Linked DNA regions of Nothobranchius furzeri. The protein of the gene in region 1 interacts with the protein of each later gene in a pairwise test. Links are inferred from orthologs where the notes say so. Each region holds a gene or a part of one and is shown on either strand. Other genes may lie near its edges.

The links. The genes of interacting proteins can lie anywhere in the genome.
Region 2: the proteins of bysl (region 1) and lonrf1 interact in binary tests that used the Homo sapiens proteins (3 or more experiments, as listed by UniProt). The two-hybrid records come from large-scale screens. The link is inferred for Nothobranchius furzeri from reciprocal best matches to the Homo sapiens genes BYSL and LONRF1.
Region 3: the proteins of bysl (region 1) and kifc3 interact in binary tests that used the Homo sapiens proteins (3 or more experiments, as listed by UniProt). The link is inferred for Nothobranchius furzeri from reciprocal best matches to the Homo sapiens genes BYSL and KIFC3.
Region 4: the proteins of bysl (region 1) and ltv1 interact in binary tests that used the Homo sapiens proteins (3 or more experiments, as listed by UniProt). The two-hybrid records come from large-scale screens. The link is inferred for Nothobranchius furzeri from reciprocal best matches to the Homo sapiens genes BYSL and LTV1.

What each region holds. Positions count from the first base shown.
Region 1 is NC_091743.1:46,641,437-46,647,073, forward strand, and holds part of bysl (bystin), read right to left. Parts: intron 4,685-5,637; coding exon 4,524-4,684; intron 1-4,523. UniProt on the Homo sapiens protein: Required for processing of 20S pre-rRNA precursor and biogenesis of 40S ribosomal subunits. May be required for trophinin-dependent regulation of cell adhesion during implantation of human embryos.
Region 2 is NC_091746.1:77,573,342-77,579,627, forward strand, and holds the start of lonrf1 (LON peptidase N-terminal domain and RING finger protein 1), read right to left. Parts: upstream 3,774-6,286; 5' UTR 3,641-3,773; coding exon 3,031-3,640; intron 1-3,030.
Region 3 is NC_091749.1:65,918,488-65,924,612, reverse strand, and holds the start of kifc3 (kinesin-like protein KIFC3), read right to left. Parts: upstream 3,774-6,125; 5' UTR 3,639-3,773; coding exon 3,447-3,638; intron 1-3,446. UniProt on the Homo sapiens protein: Minus-end microtubule-dependent motor protein. Involved in apically targeted transport. Required for zonula adherens maintenance.
Region 4 is NC_091747.1:66,351,698-66,358,012, reverse strand, and holds the start of ltv1 (protein LTV1 homolog), read right to left. Parts: upstream 3,774-6,315; 5' UTR 3,616-3,773; coding exon 3,613-3,615; intron 3,258-3,612; coding exon 3,126-3,257; intron 3,050-3,125; coding exon 2,864-3,049; intron 2,580-2,863; coding exon 2,492-2,579; intron 1,016-2,491; coding exon 889-1,015; intron 741-888; coding exon 512-740; intron 174-511; coding exon 46-173; intron 1-45. UniProt on the Homo sapiens protein: Essential for ribosome biogenesis.

The DNA.
Region 1 (5,637 bases):
TGCAGATATGTTAGAAAACGTCTAGACATCGGCCATGAAAATCAACCCAAAAAACAGGAGCACATATCAGCCATAACTGACCGTGACCTCTACATATGAGCATCAGTATCGGCAATAGAAAAACCATATCGGTTTATCTCTATAGTCTGATGTTTACAGCTTCATTAGTTTAGATGAACACACAGAAATCACATTGTGAAAGTTTCATTAAATTTGCTTTGATATGACCAAGATTGATTTACTGAAGCTTAAAGAGATCTTTACCATTTTGATTTCAATGTCAAAGTGATCTACAGGTCAGAGGATTTCAGATAAAACTCTTACAGGTATTTTAATAAACAACAAACCTTCTGCTGGAGCTTGAGTTTGAAACAATACATTAATTATGGCTCAAGCTTCATTAAAGGTGTTTAACATACACGCATGTCTAGTTATCCTTTAAGATCTGTGTCAAATGTTTCAGTCAGTAGGATGGAAGCTGTAGTGGGTGAGAACTGGAGTTAGTTTATCATCTACCACCATTTATTAGTCTGAACTGTGGATGGAAAAACACCCATCACTAGTTCCCAGTATGATGGATCTTAGAGCAACACTGCCACCTAGTGTTTAAGGCTCAAACTGAAGTTATTTTGAATTCAGGTCATGGATTGTTAAAGTTAAAAGTTAAAGTCCCATTAGATGTCACACACACAGGTGTGTGTGCGAAATTTGTTCTCCGCATTTGACCCATCCCCTGGGGGAGCTGCAGACACAGCTGCACTCTGGAACTATTTGGTGGTTTAACCCCCCAATCCAACCCCTTAATGCTGAGTGTCAAGCAGGGAGGCATTGGGTCCCATTTTTTCAAAGTCTTTGGTATGACCCGACCAGGAATCGAACCCCTGATCTCCCAGTCTCAGGGCGGACACTCTACCACTAGGCCACTGAGAAAGGGTAGAATAAAAGGGTAGAGAACAGGAGAATGTTCCCTTCAAACTGCAGGGATTTGTGTTTTCAAACAAATGAAATCAAAAGAATGTTTTTAAACATCTGATTCCACATATAAAGCTTAATTTGACCTATTAATTAACACTTTTATCCAGCCAGAAAAATGGTGTCACTCCTTCAACAGACAGCAGCTAATCCTCCATTAGCATCCTCAGTATAAAAATAATAAATCATGTACAAAAGTCACAACTGTGTCAGGTCCCCTGCAGCCTGATATTTCTGCTTTGAAACATAAGACACAAAATCCTCTCATTCATCTTCTTCACACGCTTGTTTCTTCCAAAGGTCACATGAAACTGGATCCTGGTCCAGTATTCGTAAAACCAAACATGGTGCTTTCTGTTTACAGGCCTGGCAGCTGTGTGCCAAAGTTGGAAAATATAAATAAAAGCACTGATGGATTTGAAAGAATCTTTTCAAAAGCTTTTGTATCTCGATGTTTTCACTGAGAATTTGAGGGGGCGGTTTGGATTTTTCTCCTGCTGTAAAGATGATCTCACAAACCACGTGACTTTTTTTTTCAACTTTATTTTCATTTATTGAAATTAAAATAAAAATACAAAACTAAATTGCTAAAAGCCAAAATGAAAAAGTGGACGGAAAGAAGAAAAACTTATGTTATCTGCCCCTTTTAACTAAAATAAGGTTCTCGATTTACCGGTCGATCTACGTCCCAATCCTCACCTATGGTCTTGAGCTTTGGTAATGACCGAAAGAACAAGATCGCGAATACAAGCGGCCGAAATGAGTTTCCTCCGTAGGGTGGCCGGGCTCAGCCTTAGAGATAGGGTGAGGAGCTCGGACATTCGGGAGGGACTCGGAGTAGAACCGCTGCTCCTCCGGATCGAAAGGAGTCAGTTGAGGTGGTTTGGGCATCTGGTCAGGATGCCTCCTGGACGCCTCCCTGGGGAGGTGTTTCAGGCATGTCCTGCCGGCAGGAGGCCCTCGGGTCGACCCAGGACACGTTGGAGAGGTTACATCTCCAATCTGGTCCGGGAACGCCTTGGGTTCCTGCCGGAGGAGCTGGTGGAGGAGGCCGGGGAGAGGATGGTCTGGAGCTCCCTAGTTGGGATGCTGCCCCCGTGAACCGGACCCGGATAAGCGGAGGAAGACGACAACGACAATCATATGATTCTTAAAAAATTTGAACAATATAGTTTCTGGACTGGTTGGCCGACACAACCTCAACCCATTAATTGAAAAAAAAAGAGAAAACAAGTTACACAGAAAGAAGCATAAAGTTATATACATATATACTTACATATACACATATGCATACATACACTTGTTCCCTTTTTACCCTTTTTTCTTTCTTTCACCCCCCCAACCCCCCTCCCCTCACGCGTTTATGTAACAGATCTATATAAGTTAATCATTTCATTTTTTATCTCTTTTTTGAAAGTCAATATTGTTTTTGCATTCTTGATTTCAGTATTTAATTTATTCCACATTTTAACTCCATATATGGACACACAATGTTCCTTTATGAGTATCCGATGTCTAGGTATATTAAATAAGTCGTGTCCTTTTAAATCATTTGCTATGTCTTTTTGTAAATCTTTTGATTAATCCTGCAGGTATGTACCCTTTGTTTGCATTATACATAAAATTTTAAAATATTGTAGTCCACCAGATCATAGAATTTTAGTGTTTTTAATTTTTATAAATAATGGATTGGACGGATCTCTGTAGTTGCTCCTTGTGATTATTCTTATTGCTTTTTTCTGTAAGATGTAAATGGAATTTGTGTAAATTTTTTATGTTGTTCCCCAGATTTCAATGCAGTAGTTCAGGTACGGTATGATCAGTGAGTTATATAACAAATATAGGGAATTATTATCAAGTAACCATTTTGCTCTATGTAACAGTGCAATGGTTTTAGATATTTTAGTTTTGACATTGTTTATATGTAGTTTCCAAGACATTTTTTCATCAATGATGACTCCCAGATACTTGACTTCTTTAACTCTTTTAATATTAATCTCATCTATATTTAATAAAATGTCATCATTTGAATGTATGTATTACTAAATATCATAAAACATGATTTATCACTCTTTAATGATAGCTTGTTCCCATCAAACCATAGTTTAATTTTTTTCATCTCCGTTTGTATCACTTCTATCATCTGCTCAACATTATCTCCTGAATAATAAAAAGTTATATCATCTGCAAATAAGGTGCATTTTAATATATTGGATACCTCAACAATGTCATTTATATAAATGATAAATAGTTTAGGGCCCAATACCGACCCTTGTGGTACACCACAAGTAATGTTATTTATATGTGATTTTGTGTTGTTTATTTGAACATATTGCTGCCTATCGGTAAATGGTAAATGGCCTGTATTTGATATAGCGCCTTCTAGAGTCCTGGAACCCCCCAAGGCGCTTTACAACACAATCAGTCATTCACTCATTCACACACACATTCACACGCTGGTGGGGATGAGCTACGGTGTAACCACAGCTGCCCTGGGGCGCACTGACAGAGGCGAGGCTGCCGAGCACTGGCGCCACCAGTCCCTCCGACCTCCATCAGCAGGCAACGTGGGTTAAGTGTCTTGCCCAAGGACACAACGACAGCGACAGACTGAGTGGGGCTCGAACCTGCAACCTTCCGATTACGGGGCGAGCACTTAACTCCTGTGCCACCGTCGATAACTTATCCATTTTAGGGCCATCCCTGTGATGCCATATTTACTAAGTTTTTTAATAAGAATTTTATGATCCACTGTATCGAATGCTTTTGTTAAATCAATAAAGATACTTATGAGATGAGTTTTTTGTCAATGGCTTCCGATATTTCTTCTGTTAATTCCATTAATGCCATGGATGTTGAATGATTTGTTCTAAAACCATACTAACTGTCATTTAATATCTCTTCTTTGATCAGGAATCGGTCCAGCCTAGCACCAGGCATGTCAACTCTATTATTTTTAAGTCCAACAGGTGGCGGCCCACCACTTTGAAGTTGCAAGTGCAATATTCTGGCCACAGGAGCGGTGGCGTCTGGGTGACTTCTCATTAACCCCGTAAACGGTCATTTTAGCACATGCTGGCTCAAGAAAATTATTTAAAAATATGAAAAAGTTGAACAATTTCCCTTTAAAGACCATTCAGGGTGTGTCCTCTACTTCATCAAAAATGTGGTGAGGAATAATTTATTCAGGAATGCACTGGTGTTGATACTGGCATCGGATTATCAGGCCGATACCACGTGCATGTACTCCCACTCATAAACTCCGACACTACAGGACACAATACCAGTGCCTCATCTGTATTTGCCTCATGAAAATAAACAGTTTATAAGTACATTTTATGGAGTATATTGACATTTATAACTACTTGTATTGGTACTTCATATCAGCGAGTACTCAAATAAAAGTACTTTTCTCAAACTCAGTCTGAAAGAATCGCTGATTTCACTGTCATGATTTAGCTCAAATATGTTCAGTTAAAAGGGAACACATCAAATTCAGCAAAAAATTTAAATGTGCTGCAGATGCATTAGATTAATAGTATGAGTCCTACCTTTAAACCACGCTCCTGGTTTGAACAAAGCCTTCTTCATGGCGCTGTAAAGATGGAAGTTTAGTCGTTTGTATTCTGCAATGTCGTCCCGCACTCGAGGCAGCAGCACCAAGTTATAAAACCTCTGAGCCATTCGCTCTTTCAGATTGGAGGAGAAGATTCTGTGTAAGAAATACAAAAAAAATGCCAAAATTTACTGAGCCAGGATCCTCTGGAGGTTTCTTCCTGTTAAAAGGGAGTTTTCCTCTCCACTCTGGCTAAATGCTTGCTTAGTATGAGGATTGCTTGATGCGATTTGCTGAGTTCCTTATATAGGAAACTTTTTACTGATTGGCTTACTGAACTGGCCTGTATTGGAATGTTTATTATGTGAAGTGCCTCGAGATGACTCTTGTCGTGATTTGGCGCTATATAAATAAACTTGAATTGAAATTTAATTGAATTAAATTACTGCCATGTTAATAACCCAAATGATCTAAACTCAGCAGTAATGTGTAGGAAATCCTTAGCTTAAAGACACAATCTGCAACATTTACACTTTAAAATAATATTTTTGAAAGCTTTTGGTGGCATTCTATGATATGTTCATTTTGGAGCTGTGATAGTGCTATGGGGTCCCACGTCTGTTTACTGCACTGTACAGGTTTTGACCGGCTTTCCACCCCCAGAAGTACTGACTGTGTGTTGTTTTATGGCAGTATCACGTCCATAGACCTGAATACGTAGATGCCCCATTGGGCGCTGGAGAGCGTTAACAGTGCCGCCGCCATATTGGATGGGTCTCCTCACTCTTCGAAATCAACTACAACAGAGTGAGCAACTATGCCCGTTTTTGTGCAGCCTACGGTTACACATGGCATACAATTGAAAACTGATCATGTGGGATTCGTATACTTTTCTAGCCTACCTATTTATTTTGTTTGGTTATATTTATATTTTAATTATGATGTCATACCTCTTGTCTTATTATGTGAAAAAGCTTGATAAAATGTGTTTTTTTAAATGGGTAAACATCTTCAGTAGAAATGAATGCAATGGAGACGAATGGCGGCCGGCCACTACGACAGCTCCAGTAGGCAGCACCAGTCCAAAGGACATCTACAAATGTCTGTGG
Region 2 (6,286 bases), on another chromosome or scaffold:
GCACAATACAAGTTGTGCTACTTAAAAACACAAAGAGTTATAAGAAGTGAAATATTTACACACACACACACACACACACACACACACACACCGCCTAATCCTCAGTGGTTCCGTCTAATCTGTTTTCTCCAATGAGAGGGGCTGCTGCTGCTCGCACCCAGAGCGCGCTGTGAGGTGCAGAGAAGAGCAGAGCGACATGTAAATAGTTGCCAGGTGAATTTTTTTACGCATTCAGTCGTGCTTTTAATGGGAAAAAAAAAAGGTTATTGGTCACTACACTTGTTTAACAAGCACAACACAATACACATAAAGCTACAGCTCAGCTCCTTTGTGTGAAGTCTGGCACGCTTAACATATTGTTAGCTTAAGCAGCATGGTGTATTTATATTAACGCTGGGTTAAAGAGAAAGGAGAGAGAACAAAAAGAGAAAGACAGATATGTATATAAAGAACAGACAGCAAGAGAGGATAGACAGCTGACATACTGCCATCATCCTCTCATTAATGTCACAAATATTAGACTAACTTGTTTCACTTTGATTTTACATTTCTGTAGTCAGATATTGTCCAGATTTTTACATTCATGTTGGATATTATTACTTACAATCTAATTTTCTATTTCAGATTTTGTCTTTTTTTTTAAACCTTTGACTTTACCTTTGACTTAGATATTCCGTTCAACAGATATTCCTTTTGTAACGTTCCGACTGGTAGTTTCCACTCCATATTTTCCTCTAATTATATCAATTTTTAAGTCAAACATCTTTTTAGTAAGTTCACAGTGTTCTGGACTTGTTACGTACACATTCATGCAAAAATAGTGTTCTTTTACAGCAGGAAAAGCTAAATGTAGGCCAAATAAACATTATCAGCTGGGTACTGAACCTCCTCTAAATCTAAAACCTGTGTTCTTGTTATTGTCCAATGGTCTGGCAGCTTCTAGTCAGGTCAAAATGGCAGAGAAACGACAAATTAAAGACATCAGGTCATTTTTCAGTTCACCAAAATGCCAAGTAAGTTGAACGATTTGAATAATATTAAGGCAATTTGTTATTAATATCAATATAAACAAATGGTATGTTTTGGATATGTTTAATAATGGTATCATTAGCACTAGCCAGTGCCTTCGGAAGAACGGGCTCTTTACAATTCCAGGATATTGACTTACCAGAATACCCCAATCCTGACGCCACAATTTACCCAGAATGTCGAAAAACAAACGTGATTCACAATCCTTTGAACACTAGATGGTACCCATTCTTTTTCACTTGTGAAAAGATGGTTCCCATTCCAACTCTTCTCCTTTCTTTCTTCCCTCTGTAGGGTTACACCTCCCATAGTGGAGGGAGTGAAGGGGGGACAGAGTGTACAGCCTGATCCGGCGGGAGAGAGTTCTAGTCCGAACAGACACCTCTCTCTGACTCTGTCTCTCCTATTCTGACTTTGTTTCTCTTTCTCTGACACAGTTCTCCTTCCATTGCGCTGCAATCCCTTTATTTATTTAATGGTATTACTATATCACAGACCAGTGAACGAGAGTCCACCTGACTAAAAAGGTATTGAGGGATACACATCTGAGAACTAACATAGGGTTATTACGATGTTATTACAGTGTTATTCATGCCACTAATTTGGCACTCCACTGGATCAAACTATATGGAGCCAGTCAAGCAGAGACACACAGCCTGAAGTGAGTTTGAGATTTTGGTTCGTGTCATGAAATAAGGAGAATTCTGTCTTTAGACTACTTAAACTAATGATGTGTGTTTTGTGTAGTTGCGGGTTTGAGCTTGGAAAACAACTTGTCTATTTTAGGAGGCAGACTGTTCAGAATCAGGGTCACTGGTGGAAGGACCAAGCAGAGCATCATATGACTGCACAGGGGACAGGGACACAGCAGGTCATGATGAGCAGCCTTCTACCAGCAGCAGCACTCAGACACCCAACTGACATCTTCCTTTCCTAGTATTACTACTCCTAGTATTATTGGTAGAGCATCCAAAAACCTGTAGACAGTTCTGGACTATATATGGACTAATAAAGAACAACAGCTATTATTTAATACTATATGAGACATTTAAGACACATCAGCACATGGGGAAAAAAAGCTTTTTTTAATGCCCCCCTCAGGAATTACTCCTGAAATGTTTACTGTCTAATGCCCCCCCCCCCTCCCCCAACAATGATGAGGGATTTTCACCCCTGCCAGTAAACAAATCTCAATCTTTATGTCACACTATAATGCAAAAATGATCAGAGCAGCATTAAATACAAGTGCTTGTTTGTGCACAGCTGTTTGTTACTTAGATTAATTAAGAAAACAAACTTTTTTTTCCAATGCAAATTTTTGAATTAGATTGCATTGATCTAAAAATACATCAAAACTTGTATTTTTATTCTCTTGCTTGACAAGTTACTTTTCAGAGCTGAGCAGTCATATTTTTGAATGTACTGTATTTTGTAAATTAATAGTTTCACTTCAGTCATGTTTTCTAGAAAAATATATCTCCCACTAGATGTTTTGAACTGTACCCAGACACAAACTGGGCCTGGATTATTCTTACCATTACATAATGTTACAGAAGCGTTTGTGTGGACTAGGGTTTCATGCTAACTGGACTTTTAATTCAGGTATGCTCCGTATTTATGAAAGCGTGGTCCGCAACAGCTGGAAAATTACAACATAAAATGCCCTTCCGGTTTTGCAAGTTACAAAACCTACAAAAGTGTCACGACCCTGACTTATGCAACTTGGGTGCGCATGCGCAGACGGTCGAATTTCGTAAGCCGGGCCATGCAGGAGGCTGACAGTCACAACACATGGTTTTCAAAATATTGGTCAGAAGAACTCGCTGAACTTCTCCCTCTAGGCCCACGGACACCAGAGATTTTACTGAACCAAACATTCTCCTGTTCTAGTAGTTACAACTCAGCTTTACCTCCTAAATGTTCCTGTTGCTAGCTGACGGTGCGCCGCAGACACACCTTTTTCTGTTCAACACCGGTGTGATGAGAGATGATGACACTCACCTGAGTGCAGAACTTCGCTAGCTAGCGACACAGCTTCTCTGTAGCGTTTTCTTTTACACAGAGAATCCACTTCGCGTAATTTTTTCCACTCTTTCAGCTCGCCGGGAAACCATTTCTCTAAAAGTCCACATAGGGTTACGTTCACTTTCTCCTTGCCGGCGACGGCTTCGCCGCACAGCTTACATTTGAGGACGAGCCGTCTACGTAAACACCTTCTACAGTACGAGTGTCCACAGGCTAGGGTGACAGGCTCGTCCAGGAAGCAGAGACAGCTGGGACAGTCCAACAACGCGTCCACACCTCCCGACTCGGAGTCTCGACTCCGGCCCGTGGAGGCATCTGACCCGGCCGCTTTCCTCTTGAAGTTGCGGAGGATACAATCCACAAAAGTGCTTAGCTGCTCCGGACGCACAGGGCCGTAGCGCATCGCCGCGGAGAACCAGTCAATAGCCTCCTTTAGGCAGTCCTCGGATGCTAAAGCGTTGCCTTTCTGAAGTATAAGTTCACGGTGGCCGTCCTCCGCTTCAGAGACATTATTGTCCCCGTCAGCGCCGATAAAGAAGGCGCTCCTCTCCTCCGGTGTGTCCGCCACATACTGTTTTAGCGACATTATGACATTGAAATGTTTATGAGACGCTATTTACGTCCAGCTTTTCTTCTATCGATATGTTTATACATCTCTGTAGTGCCCCGGTCCTCTAGTCTGACGGGTTTTGTCAAAGATACTCGATTGTTATGTAAAAAAAAAAAGAACACCTGGTCACGTGATCACAAACGCGTCTCGTGATTGGTCAGGACGTTTCGGTTACAAAACCTGCGCTGCAAAGTTTCATAACTGCGGAAGATGCGCATTAAAGTCCACAAACAGCGCTTGATTTAGGCGCCCTCACAGATCCTAATTCATTATCAATAAAATAAAAAGAAAATCTGCTTTCTGCTACATATCTGTTAAGCTGGATGCAAAGCATGTCAGAAACAAGTCTGAAAAATAAATAACAGTCATACAAGATTTTATAACTTGATTTTGGAACACCTTTTGTGCTTTATTTTTCTATGAATTATGTAACATTTGGGTTATGTAATTTTTTTTATCTTGTGCAACTTTTCACCACTTTCTAGTTCTGTTGGAGCATCTCTTGTTTTGCCATCTATTTATTAACACACTCACACGCCACAGTTAAACCACTGCAAAGAAGTTGAATAAATTGAGTGCAAGTTTCATAATGTTCAGGTTCTTTAACATAACACAGGACAAAAAATAGCAACTAGTAATAATACATATTAAATAATATAACTGTACTTCATCTCCGCCTAATGCTGATAGTATTAAGAAATATAATCAAATTTAAAATATTATCTTTTTTCATTTAAGCTTCTTTCAATATTCTGTCAAATAATTTATTATAGGTGCGGTAAAAACAGATCTCTTACCAGATATAGAAACTCCCATAAAATCAGAGTGATCTACAATCTACAATGAATGCTCCTCAGACAGCAGATGGGTTATATGTGGTCCGTAAATGGGAAATGCATTATGATTTGCAAAAGAAAACCAGATTCAAGATGAAGACACATTCTCCATTATAAAATGAGCCACAGATATTTTTTATGATGCTTAAGCAATAGCTCGCTTTAGGAGAATAACCTTAAAAGGGAAATAGAAAAAACTGTCATTTAATATATTCAAAAAATGTACCAAATTGAGTGTACTAAATAATTATGAAAATATAAATTAAATCAATGATCATGATCGCTCTGGAATTAAGAGCAGGAAAAAGTTTAAAATGAATCTTTATGTGTATCTGACAAATGGAAATTATATATTGTATTGTATGTAAATAGATTCTGGAAAAGGGGGCATAAATTATGAGATGTTTGTCTTCATTCATGCTCCTTTTCATTCAAATTTGATTTTTTGTTGTTGTGTATATCTTATTGTTTATACGTTTTATTTGTTTTTATTTTCAATGAAATAAATACATTAAAAATAAATAAATAAATACAAATATCTGATCTTTGAACTTAAACCTGCTGGAAAACCAGCACGACTAAGGCTGAAATAACTCAATTCAGTAAAAAAAAAAACTGTCGGACAAAATTCCTCCATGCCTCATTGCTTGGTTGCTGTTATTCTTTGTTTATTTATTTTCCTTTATAACTCAAATATTTTATCTATACTTTGAATGATTGATGGCTTTAGGCGATACTTTAATTTATCACCTGTATTAAATGAGAGCTCTTTCAGCCAATGCGATGAAAGCAAAGCTGATGTGGTATTAAAAAAATATACATCATCTAATACATCAGATTTATAAAATAATTTGATGTGAAAGAGGAGGACATGAGGCAAAAGCTGCAGTGTTAGCCACAAAAGATTCATCTGTGCTCTCGTTCCTCGTGTCTGATCATAAACAGCTCTCATCTTTTCTGATTTAGAGCATTCAACTACAAATCAGGTCATGGTCCACATGCTGCAGCGCCTTCCAGCTGCGACGAGTCCTACATGTTCCCAGGTGTCTTTGACTGTGTGGGAATGTGCAGTAAACAGTGTGTGAGTATGTGTGTGTAAATGGATACATCTGGATTGCAAAGTGAAGAGCAAAAGTAAACACATTTGTCAGTCTGCTGTCAGGGTTTTGGTTGCATTCGTATTTTATTTTTAATCTAAAGGCAACAACAGGTTGAGGTTGTGACCTTCAGTTGGAGAGTGCAGAGTGGTTGTTGTAGCTGGTCAAGTATGTAACAGGCTTTGTTTTAGCCCAGTGAAAGTTTTAAATGTTTTCCAGGTGTGAATCATATCAAATGAGCTCGAGTCAGCGTATCGATCTGTAAATCCATGATCACTCTTAGACAACGGCCTCTTAAATCCAGAATATCTAATCCCTGCACACAAACGAGACAGCTTCACAGTACACAGATCAGTTTCATGGTAGCGTCTACATTGGAAAGTAACCTTATTGTGAAGTACAATGTAACAGAAAACAGAAAACATTCACTGGGGACTCTTGTTTGAACCTGTATACACAGAAAGGCTCGATAAAGTACTTCCCTGTTAGCCTGGCAAGCCAGACTAAATAAATGTATTATTTAGTCTGGCCATGCTCCATTGACGGCTCTCGGTTGTGGGGCGGGTTCTACCGTTGTCTTTCAAATGATCTCCGCATTCCCCTGGACAATGAATGTGACATACTCTTGTTTCACTCTGTGGCATCATCCCACCCACCAGGCATATAGAGTGCCCTGATTGGCCCACAAA
Region 3 (6,125 bases), on another chromosome or scaffold:
CCCTGACCCGGAGAAGGCGTTCTACCCTTTTCCGAATCAAGACCATGGTCTCAGATTTAGAGGAGCTGATTCTCATCCCAGCTGCTTCACACTCGGCTGCGAACCACTCCAGCGAAAGCTGAAGATCACGTTCTAATGAAACCAACAGGACCACATCATCTGCGAAAAGCAGAGACCTGATCCCCAGGCCACCAAAATGGATGCCCTCCACACCTTGGCTGTGCCTAGAAATCCTGTCAATAAAGGTTATGAACAGAACTGGTGACAAAGGGCAGCCTTGGCGGAGTCCAACTCTCACTGGGAACGAGCCCGACTTACTGCTGGCAATGCGGACCAAGCTCTGACACCGGTCGTACAGGGACCTAACAGCCCATATCAGAGGGCCTGGTACCCCATACTCCCGGAGTACCCACCACAAGGCCCCCCGAGGGACGTGGCCAAACGCCTTCTCCAAATCCACAAAACACACGTAGACTGGTTGGGCAAATCCCCACGCACCCTCCAGGATCCCCCTAAGGGTATAGAAATGGTCCAGTGTTCCACGGCCAGGACGAAAACTACATTGCTCCGTCTGAATCTGAGGTTCAACAATCCGACGGACCCTCCTCTCCAGAACCCCTGAATAGACCTTACCAGGAAGGCTCAGGAGTGTGATCCCCCTAAAGTTGGAACACACCCTGCGGTCCCCCTTTATAAATAAGGGGACCACCACCCCGGTCTGCCAGTCCAGTGGGACTGACCCTGATGTCCACGCGATATTGCAGAGCCGCGTCAGCTAACACAGCCCCACAACATCCAGAGCCTAAAGGAACTCCGGGCGGATCTCATCCACCCCTGGAGCCTTGCCACAGAGGAGCTTTTTAACCACCTCAGTGACCTCAGGACCAGAGATTTGAGAGGCCAACCCAAAGTCCTCAAACTCTGCTTCCTCACTGGAAGACGTTTCAGTGGGATTGAGGAGGTCTTCGAAGTATTCTGCCCACTGATCCACAACGTCCTGAGTCAACACATTCTCACACCCAAGGCGTCAAAATATGACGCGTGTGATCAGGCCTCAATATATGACGATTCGGGATGCCCTAGCGCGTCAGGAGACGATGATCAGGGACACGCTAGGACACGTGGCTCTGCTGGCGTCACTGTTTGACGCGGGCGGTCATACGGACATTATTCAACTATTTAACCTTCCCCTCACCCCAATCCTAACCCTAACCTTAAGGTCCATAAACTGTGACCTTAAGGTTAGGATTGGGGTGAGGGGAAGGTTAAGTAGTTCACAAGTAGTTCTAATGTCCGTCTCAGCACCAGCGTTGGATACCGAGCTCTGGGACGCTGCGTCAGCAGTTTCTCCCTGATCGTCGTCTCCTGACGCGCTGGGGCGTCCTGAATCGTCATATATTGAGGCTTGGTCACACGCGTCATATTTTGACACCTTGGATGTGAGAATGTGTTGCCTGAGTAGAGGTCAGCAGCACACCGTCCCCACTATAGATATTGTTGGTAGCGCACTGCTTCTCCCCCCAAGGCGCCGGATGGTGGACCACAATCTCATCGAAGCCGTATGGAAGTCTTGCTCCATGATCTCACCAAACTCCTCCCATGTCTGGGTTTTTGCCTTGGCGACCACCCGAGCTGCGTTCCGCTTGGACTGCCGGTACCCGTCAGCTGCCTCTGGAGTCCCACAGGCCAAAAAGACCTGATAGGACTCTTTCTTCAGCTTGACATCATCCCTAACCGCCAGTGTCCACCAGCGGATTCGGGGGTTTCCACCACGACAGGCACCGACGATCCTGCGACCACAGCTCTGGTCGGCCGCCTCAACAATGGAGGTATGGAACAGAGTCCATTCAGACTCAATGTCCCCCGCCTCCCCCGGAACATTTTGGAAGTTCTGTCGGAGGTGGGAATTGAAGCTCCTTCTGACAGGAGACTCTGCCAGACGTTCCCAGCAAACCCTCGTGATGCGTTTGGACCTGCCTGCTCTGACCGGCATCCTCCCCCACCAACTGAGCCAACTCACTACCAGGTAGTGGTCAGTTGACAGCTCCACCCCTCTCTTCACCCGAGTGTCCAAGACATGCGGCCGCAGGTCAGATGAAACAACAACAAAGTCGATCATCGAGCTGCGGCCTAAGGTATCCTGTTGCCAAGAGCACATATGGACACCTTTATGTCTGAACATGGTGTTCATTATGGACAATCCATGACTGGCACAGAAGTCCAATAACAAAACACCACTCAAATTCAGATCGGGGGGCCGTTCCTCCCAACCACACCTCTTCAGGTCTCACTGTCGTTGCCCACATGAGCGTTTAAGTCCCCCAGCAAAACGAGGGCGTCACCGGAGCGAGCGCTTTCCAGCACCCCCTCCAAGGTCTCCAAAAAGGGTGGGTAGTCTGAACTGTAGATTGGTTCATAAGCACAGACCACAGTCAGAACCCGTCCCCCCACACGTAGGCGGAGGGAGGCTATCCTCTCATTCACAGGGGTAAACCTCAATGTACAGGCACCAAGATGGGGGGGCAACTAGTATGCCCACCCCTGCTCTGCGCCTCTCAGTGGGAGCAACTCCAGTGTGGTAGAAAGTCCAACCCCTCTCAAGGAAAATGGTTCCAGAGCCAGAGCCATGCGCTGAGGTGAGTCCGACTATATCTAGTTGGAACCTCTCAACCTCACACACCAACTCAGGCTCCTTCCCCACCAAAGAGCTTCTGTAGCCGAGGATCAGACCGACAAGGTCCCCGCCCTCGACTACCACCCGTCACACACTGCACCCGACCCCTTTGGCCCATATCTATTAAACCTAAAATGTTTTTTGAACCAGGCTGTAAACATGTTTATTTCTGCTGTGAAATTAGCATTTTTTACATGGGAGTCAACGGGAACTTGCTCTGCTCTGGTGCCAGCCCCTAGCAGATGAGGGTGGAACTGCAATTTTTGCCACTCCTTGTTGGCTTCAAAAAATTCAGACTAAAATGGCCCTTCGTGCAGAACCCAGCACAGAACCAGCTGCCTAGATCACTTGTTCTGGAAACCAGAAAAAATAAAATTAAAACAGCTAAAAATATACTCACACATGCGCAAACTTGCTCAACAAAAAGACAAGGCTACGCAGACCGATTAGGCATGATTGATGCAGCTCTTGAATTTGGACACTTATGGTGAAGTGTCCGGCCAAAGGACACAACTACGATCGAAACGCAGTTGGGGTTTGAACCGGCTACAGGGCGAACTCCTAACCCTTGAGCCACCGTCACTAAGTGGAGAACTCAGCTGTGAACTGGGACCAGCTCACTTCAAACTGGCCAGACTGAGAAGTAAGGCTGCACAAGGGTTCATGGAAGTTCTGAGGACAAAGACCATTTTCTGTCTAACACCCCCTTTTCTATCCTGATTTGCAGAAATGTTTAAAATCTCAGAATATTTCCAGACCTTGACCTCCTCACCTCAACTGGCCTCCTGCTGGATGAGGAGACACATCGTACACGGACCCCCTTCCTCTTCCTCACAGCCTTCACGCCACTTTGTCCTGGTCCATTAGCATCACCTCCATGCTCTGAGCTACCTTTGAGTTGGTTGTTGCTCCTCCTGAGGAGGCTGTAGAGTGTGAGCAAAACCAGCATGGAGAGGACCAACATGTTCCTGTCCCACAGGTGAGCTCAGCCTGGGACAGGATCCAGGTGAGTGAGGCACACAGGTGTCCCGTAATCCTGTCGCTTTCTCATTTATTCCTCAGCTGTCTCACCTCTGTCCTGGTCCCGTCCCTACCCTGCCAACGCTGTACTTCCACAGAACTGATAAGAACACATGAACCTTGTCCTCCTCTCTGTTATTGTTGTCTAATCCACAGGTAATCCTCCATTAAAACTTTAATTCTTTATTTTTACCTCAAGCTCGGAATGACTGTTGCCTGTGATGATGTCAGGAGAGGTGCATTCAGGCTTCAAGTCCTTCGAGTCATTTTGAATTTGGCTTCAACAGTTTCCCCCACTGTTGTTTAACAAGGCGGACAAAAGCCTAAATATTTTACACGTATACTTGATTTACCATAACTCTGCAAAGGTTTCAGCCATCAGAAAAATTCAAGCGTTCTTTTTAAAAGAGAAGTCGCACTTTTAAGTACACATTACAATAAAATGCATTACGCTGTTGCAGGAAGCCGGCTAATCAGAATGTCTCACATGCACAAGAGGGTAAGTGAGGGGCAGAAAATGAGCGAAACACACCCACAGCTAGGGCTGGGCAATAAATTGAAAATGTATCATCATCGAAATTTCTGACTCTTATCGAGATCATTGTCCCCATGTCAATAAATCTGATAATAAAAAAATGAAAAGATGTGTGCAGGTTGGCAACATTCATGTCCACCTCGAGTCTCGTAAAAATGTGACTCAACGTAATACATGTGACAGCCCCATCTAGTGGACAACTTTTGTTTCTACACATACCTGTAGTTAACGTCCATTTATCGCCATTATGGTGAACTCCTCAATATATCGTGATATTGATTTTAGGCCGTATCGCCCAGCCCTACCCACAGCTATAAATATCATTGGCCAAATTGCACCCTTAAAAAATAAATAAAATTGTTTTCATTCCCTAATGCGCTGCTTTGTCAGCTCAAGTGTCTGACTGCTGCAACCAAGTGGGTCTCTATTGCCTCCATTACTGGGTCTCACATGGCGTAGCGTCCACGTCACCAAATGCATTACTCTGTTGACTCGGCGTCAAAATCCCCAAACTCTGTTCCATCTACGGTTGTTGTAATCACTCTAGTCATGACAAGCACAAATGTTTTTTTTCGTGTCCCAAAAGTAGTGAGCCACAAAAAACCCAATTTAAAAAATCTTACTGAAAGAGGACGACAGAAGTGGACCTCCGGCTAAAGCCTGATTCATGCTTCTCCGTCAGCTCCAAAAGGGAGAGACACGCACGCACGGGCGGAGATGTTTTGCCCTCATACTTCTCCGTCTCCTGGGGAGTGTTGCAAAGCAATTCCCCACCAGGACAACAGAGGGCGTAGCGCTGTTCTGTGGTATCTTGTCATGTATCCGGTCCAAGATAGTGTGTTTATATTGTTTTTTTTTTGTATGTAAGAGACTTTTTAGCACAGACAAATTTGTCTCTCATCCTCCTCCACCTCTTCATGCACTCGCCACCTCTAAACCCACGTTTCCTGTCATTTCCGTTCACAAATAAATCGCTTGCTATGTATCTTTTCACTCCTCCAGTCACGGGGGAATTAAAAATTCATGTTTTTAGAGTTTTTTCGCGAGGTATTCTTCAAGCTGCTCCGTGTCTGCCGCTAGTTATCCTCGGCTCTCTTTATGTTTTTGAGGGCGCAATGGCGGCGGTGTAGATGACAGCTGCGTCCTGACCAATCACAAGCTTGCGTTATCCGTTTCGATGGACGGATGTTTAGAAAAGAGAGCTCAACTCCATCCGTCCTTGCGGAGCTCTCCAGCAAGCCCGCAAGGACGGACAATGGCGTTGCGTGTCTCCGCACTGACGCAGACGGAGAAGCATGAATCAGGCTTAAGAACAAGGGGCGCTGAAAGGTTATGGGTCGACTAAATGCCATAAAAATGGCAGGAAACAGTTTTGATACGGTTTTCATGTGTCCCAACTTATTTGTACCACAAATATCTTTCAGAGTGATAATGCTAGCAGGTAGCTTAGCTTTGTAACGTGGTGTTTATACCTCATTTAAATCAAACAAATGTATAATCAATTTGGATTTAAAAAGTTATTTACAAGTAGATCTTTGCACATAAACCTACTCCACGTTAGCGGAAGCATTATTATCATGAGCTGAGGAATTACAATCAGTTAGCACACCTCACTACTTACCTGAGCAAAAACAATACGACGGTCATTTAAAGCTTCTCTGGATCACTAAATGGTTAAGCCAACCTGAAATAACATAGCTGTAGGCCTCCAGGCTTATAAAAGGCTTTCATTTGGTTTGCAGTGTAATATGAGGTACGCAGCAAGAAATTGTTCATGTCGATCACTTCAACGTTGGGTAAATCCTCCATGATGTCTGACTTTTTAAACTATATGGGTTGTATCTCAAAGTGTGTCCTTAATAAAGATGTAATTTTCCATGATGGTATGCTAGCCCA
Region 4 (6,315 bases), on another chromosome or scaffold:
CTAACCAAAACTAAAGCCAGCTGAAAGGATGGAAATGCATCTCACACTCTAGCTTTCTGTGTGAAGTAATCTCTGATGACCACCTCCAAGCGCTCGCTGTCTGGAGCGATGAAACCTTCCAGCTCAGCGTTGTCCAGAGCGCCAATCTCGTCATCGTCAAACTGCTGGTAAAACTGAAACATACAGCAGGAAGTGGGGTTCATTAGCAGAGACCTGTGACGTGATCTGAGGTTTGTATTCGTTATATTCATTTTTGTTCTTCTGGGACCCGTGGTCCAGAAGTAGATGGGCGTGGCTTAGGCTCCCTATTCAGGCTGAAATTCCTAAATTGTCACACATGAACAGTGAAGCAGGGGTCGTAAGGTTGTAGGCTGCAGCCTGAGGTGTTTAGAGAAGGGTTTTCCACACCGTTAGTGATGTGTGCACGGGCTTGGCGCAGCGGTGAAGGGAGCTCTACGCAGCCCTGTCCTCTAGGACTGGTGCTAGAGACTGACTCTGGGTGGACCATCACCTTTTCAAAGCGCTCGTCCAGCAGGGTGAGCTGCTGGTTCCTCCTCATCACAGACGAAGACAGGGAGTACTCTGTGAAGCGACTCTTCGTCTCCTCGTCCATGAACAGCAACTCTCCACCACCTCCTTCAGCGTGTTCATCTCCTGAAAATCCTCCTTCTGAGTCAAAGTCTCCATCGTCCGTGTCCTCCCACTCATCATCATCATCGTCGTCGTCGTCACGTCCTTCCCTGTCACATGTTTGACACAGACAGAATTTTACACACATTTAAGGATCAATAACAGCATCACATGTCAGTCAGCAGATGTGTGGTGGTCTTCTTCTCCCACTCAGACCACAGGTACCAGCTAAACCCGGAACCATTAGGACTTACTCACACCCAGCCTCCGGCTGCACAGTTGGCTCTGATGATGAAGTCGTCCTCTAGCATGTTGTCAGGGTTGCTGAAGTCAAAGTCTTCATCCAGAGCTGCCACGATATCTGGGTCCATGTCCAGTCGGGGTCCTGAAACAACACATCAGCTGTTTCCACCACCGGAGCATCAGGGTAAATTTACAGGAACTTCCCGACGTGCATGCGTCTCCCAGCCAGATGAGGCGTTTTCAGGAACTCTCAAAGGAACAAGAGCAGAACCAGGAGAGGGAGATGAAGGTCCCACCAAGCCTGAACAGGTGAGTTTAAAGGAGACCACTGAGTCCACTGATCTCAGGCTCAGGGGGAGAGAGGTCCAGAGTCTGGGGGCCACAGCAGCAGATGATCTGTCACCTTTGACCTTTAGCCTGGTGCTGCACAACCAGTAAGCTTTGATCACTGGACCTCAGGGACCTGCTGGGGGTGTAGGGACTAAGAAGATCACCAATGTAAGATGGTGCTTGTCCATGTAAGGCCCTATAGACCAGAACCAGGATCTTGAAATGAACCCTGAAGTTGACTGGCAGCCAGTGAAGCTGGAGGAGAAGCGGGGTGATGTGGGTGTGTTTGGAGGACTTGGTCAGAAGCCGAGCACAGGCGTTCTGAACCACCTGTACAGTAATCCCTCGCTACTTCGCGGTTCGTTCATCGCGGATTCGCTGCTTCGCGGATTTTTTCTTTGGAGCATTTTTCAGGGGGAATTCGCAGATTCGCGGTATTTTTCACTGATTCGCGGTATTTTTCTATGCGAAATATCAAGAAATTCTTGTTTTTTTTCATCAATTTCATCATAAAATGCACTTTTTGTAATAAAACAAAAAAAAAACAAGTAAAAAAATTTTTTTCTTGAGTTTTACCCCCAAAAAGAGAATCTGATCATACGATAATTCAATAGGGAGCGTGGTTTCACAGACGCGGAAGTGATAGCGTCGGTGAAACGCCGGCTGCTCTAGGAAACCCCCGAGCGTTCGAGCGTCAACGAAGTGACACGGAAATGCCGGGCTTTCCAGAAGTAAGTAAGATAACTTACTATGAGCTGATAGTTCGTTGGATTGATCGGTAGGTTGGAAACTGATCATGAATCTGAAGAAACGATGACTGAGTGGTGAGCTGGAAAGGCGACTTCCGTTTATAGCCGCGGTTTGTGACGTAGGTGCGACGTGGAGGGAATCCCCGCGAGGGGCATGCTGGGAGTCCCTACTTCGCGGATTTTCACCTATCGCGGCCAGGTCTGGAACGCATCTACCGCGATAAACGAGGGATTACTGTAGACGGTTCAGGGAGGTTCTGCTCAGACACGTGAAAAGAGAGTTACAGTAGTCTAAGCGTGAGGAGATGAAGGTGCATGTTACGGTGTCCAAGCTCCTACCTGCCATAAACTGTGTGACGTTACAGTGTCAGTGTGGTCTATGAAACCATGAATATTGATGTAGTGCAACTTGTTAACATAAAAACTAAGCCGTTGTTTGAAAATCTCATGCTTGATCTTTTCCACCCGATTGTTTGAATCCTGATCAGAAATCAGATCACATGACCAGATCAAAGCATCCCTGATCTGAGGTGCTCTACCTGAAACAGGTGCAGCTTTGTTCAGAAGTCCCACCTCTTCCTCGAACTCTGAGGCGAACACTGAAGAGGGCAGGTGGATAGAAGCTTCCTGGTCAGAAAGCACAACAAGGATTAGATCAGTCCTTGTATCACACCGGCCAGCATCACTCAGGTGTGTAAATAAACATGGCTGACAGCTCCCTCTCAGCTGATCAATGTTAATAAAACCAAAATAAATGTAAAACGTGAAACTCCTCTGATAAAGCTCTTATGAAGGTTAGGAAGAAACAGAATGGTCAGAGATACACGACTGGGTCACTACCTGCCGTTCTCTAAACTACAACGTCCTACACGTGACCTTCAGGGCTGAAGTAAGGCTAAACAGAGACTCACAGGAACATTCTTGTCTGTAATCTTTTCACACTCCTCATCTTCTTCATGTCGGCGGTGAATCGTGGGTTCAGCTGTGACCAGCTCTGAGGGGCCCGACGCCTCCTTCAGGTGCTGCAGGTAGTCATAATCATCATCGAAGAAAACACCAAACTGTCTCTGCTCCTCACGCCTCTTCTCTGCCTCTGCCTGAAAAACACAAGGTCCTGTTAGAACCACATCAGGTCTTTGGGGACATCTGACAAGGTTTTCTCTGCAGCTGGACCTTAGTGGCAGGCAGGAGGACGTGCTGTGGTGCTGTTTCATCTGCAGCCAAAGGGTCCCTCTGACTCCTGTGGACCAGGTGAAAGGTCACCGCTTTCTTCTTTTCGATGAATGATTTCTTCTTTCGATGAGGCTGGAACAGATTTAGACGACATTTAGTTAGAACATGTTAAATCAGATAAACGCCACCGAGTTAAGATGGCTTATAACAGCTGGAGTTGCTGTCTGAATGAGAGCAGGAGGACGTGAACAAAAAGGCATCTTTTCCTTTCTGAACAAGTTTTCTAAATCTATGCAAAACATTCATGTTTCTGGAGGGAAAAGGAACAAACACGCTTGAGATCGTCATCGACATCCACCAGCTCATCTAGAAAAGCTGAATTAAAGTCATATAAACGAGCGTTAGCTGTTACATACTTGTTGTTATGCTCACCACCTTAGCTGCTGTTAGCTAACACGGCTAGCTTAGCAGGAAAAGGTCTTCTTACCATTTTGTGCTGGAATCACAAACGTCTCCTTCAGCAGCTGACACTGATTTAATGTTTATAAAAACTCGACCTCCGTGTATCTGTTAGAGACAGCGACCTTTCACATAAAACACAAGTAACGTCTTTCCACGCTGACGGCGATGCCCGTGCCGGAAACCCGATCCGTAACACGCATGCGCGAATTTTACGTCACTTCCTCTTTGCCAACTTTGCGACAGTTACAGACTGCGTTACGTTTAAACCTCCGAATACACATAAATTTATTTATTTTTTATTTATTTTTTAAAAGGTTTTATTAACTTGTGGTCGATACATTCAGAAAATACATTCAATATATCCATGGATCACATTTTACAGTTGTTTACAATAGCAATAACATACATGCAACATTAGGAAACTATTAAACAAAAAAAAAACAAGAAATAAACAAAATAGTGACGAAAACATATATAACGTAGAAACATAACACTTAGGGGTCTGCTGTGTCTAAGTTGAAATGATGAAATAAGTTGATGGTCTTTGTTAGTTTGTTGTTCTTCTTTTTTAATTTTTCAATGCTGTTCCAATATTTCATAAGGTCTGTAATTCTGAAATTATAGAAGGAGGGGATACTTTTCTGAAAAATCATTTTATGTAAATAATATTTTGCTAAAATAATGACTAAGTTAATTATGTATTTTTCATTGGATGATAAATGAGGGTTAGTAACAATAAGAAGTATTTCATATTTGCTTAAAGAAATATTTTTTTAACTTTCTGGAAATGAATCTTTGTAAATGGAACCAAAACAAAGTTACATGAAAGCAATCAACAAAAACATGTTCAATATTTTCTCCCTTACAACCACAAAAAGCACAGATGTCAGAAACATTTGGAAAATAAATACAGATGTTTGCTTTTGACGGGTAATATCTCCGAATACACAGAAATGCATGCTTTTCTCCTCAACGGAGAGCTTCCGGCGATTGAACAAGAGCGCCGTAAAATAGGAAGAATGGCGCCTAATTACAGACTTAAAGGTAAGTACGAAAATTAAAGATGATCTTTTATCATGGTCTACAGCTGCCCTTGCTGCTTGAGGGTACGGACTCAACGTTAGTGTTCTAAAGTTGCATGACGCCTGCGTTGATTCAGGAGGGTGTAACGAGTAATATCAGTGTACAGTGTATACAGTGCAGCATCGTCTGTAATATCGAAATTCTATATACAGTATAGATCTATATCTTGGTGTGTGGGCTTATTTTAGATTTTAAAAAATCATAAATACAATATCATATATATTTTTTCTTCTCCTGGCACTCACAGAGCACAGTCGCTTCTGCTTTGCTCCCTTATCTTTTTCTCCCAAGGCTCTTTTTGTCCCGTCTGACTACAGAGCGCTTCTCTGCATTTCCTCTGGAGATCACTATTTTTCAGAAATGGATTTAATTAATTGGTCATTCAACGTGATTGATAAGATTTTTTCTACGATGAGAACGGAGGAGGGGGCTCCCACTTGCCCTCACGGGACACACGCAGCGGGATATATGCTCGATTCCTGGAAGGTGTGGAATGTCATCTGTCTCTCTCAGCTGTCCATTCAGGACTGTATCTGTTTTGTCTATATGTGTGTGTGTGTGTGTGTGTGTGTGTAATCTTGGTCAGGCTGTTCTGTGGAGTCAAGTTCCTATGCTCTGGTTCGCTGGAGCGCTGGCAATAAAATTATTTCTGATTCTGATATAGCCTACATACATTTTTAAAGATAATTGCAATTGGAGGTAAATGTACCATATTGCTAGCCTGGCAAGCCAGACTAAATAAATGTATTATTTAGTCTGGCCATGCTCCATAGACAGCTCTCGGTTGTGGGGCGGGTTCTACCGTTGTCTTTCAAATGATCTCCGCATGCTACTGGACAATGAATGTGACATACTCTTGTTTCACTCTGTTGCATCATCCCACCCACCAGGCATATAGAGTGCCCTGATTGGCCCACAAAGCGGATAAAGCTCTGTGATTCATTCACTAAGCAGATAGAGCACTATGATTGGCCCACCATTATGGACCAATCACAGCTCTTTTTGTGTTTGAAACCCCTCTAGAGAGCTGTGATTGGCCAGCCAGAGTCCTGGTAGGAGCTGCGGAGGTTCCAATGGAGCGTGCCTAGACCGTTCTTTGCAAAGCAAGAATTTGGTCTAGTTCACTAGGCTACTATATTGGTGCAATCTCAAACTTTAATATCTGTCAGACATTTCATTTTACTTTAGTCAGCAACTCTCATCTTTTTTTCATTTTTATCTTGTTCCACACAGCAGACTCTTCTACACTGGCCCCAGTATGCAGAGCATGCGCCTGGTAGTCATGTCAGAGGAGGAGAAGAAGTCTGTTTGGATGGAATGCCACAATAACCCTGGAACCACAATGGTGTCAGAGGTACCCGAAACAGGGTTGTTGCTGGCTATTACTGGCCAACATTGAACCAGGACATCGGTGAATGGGTAATGGCCTTTTCTGAGTGAAGAAGCTAAATCAGGTCGTCATAATTTTTTCTAAAACATCTGTAGGCTATATAATCACTTACATTTCAACATTAGTTTCTGTCTTTTTATTTTGTTATCAATTTACATCAACTGGTTTAGGGTTTCCTAGACATACTGTTTGGAATACGCCTTTCAGGTCAGATGTTGTCATCGCTGCCAGATGAATGACCCAATCAAGACCGTG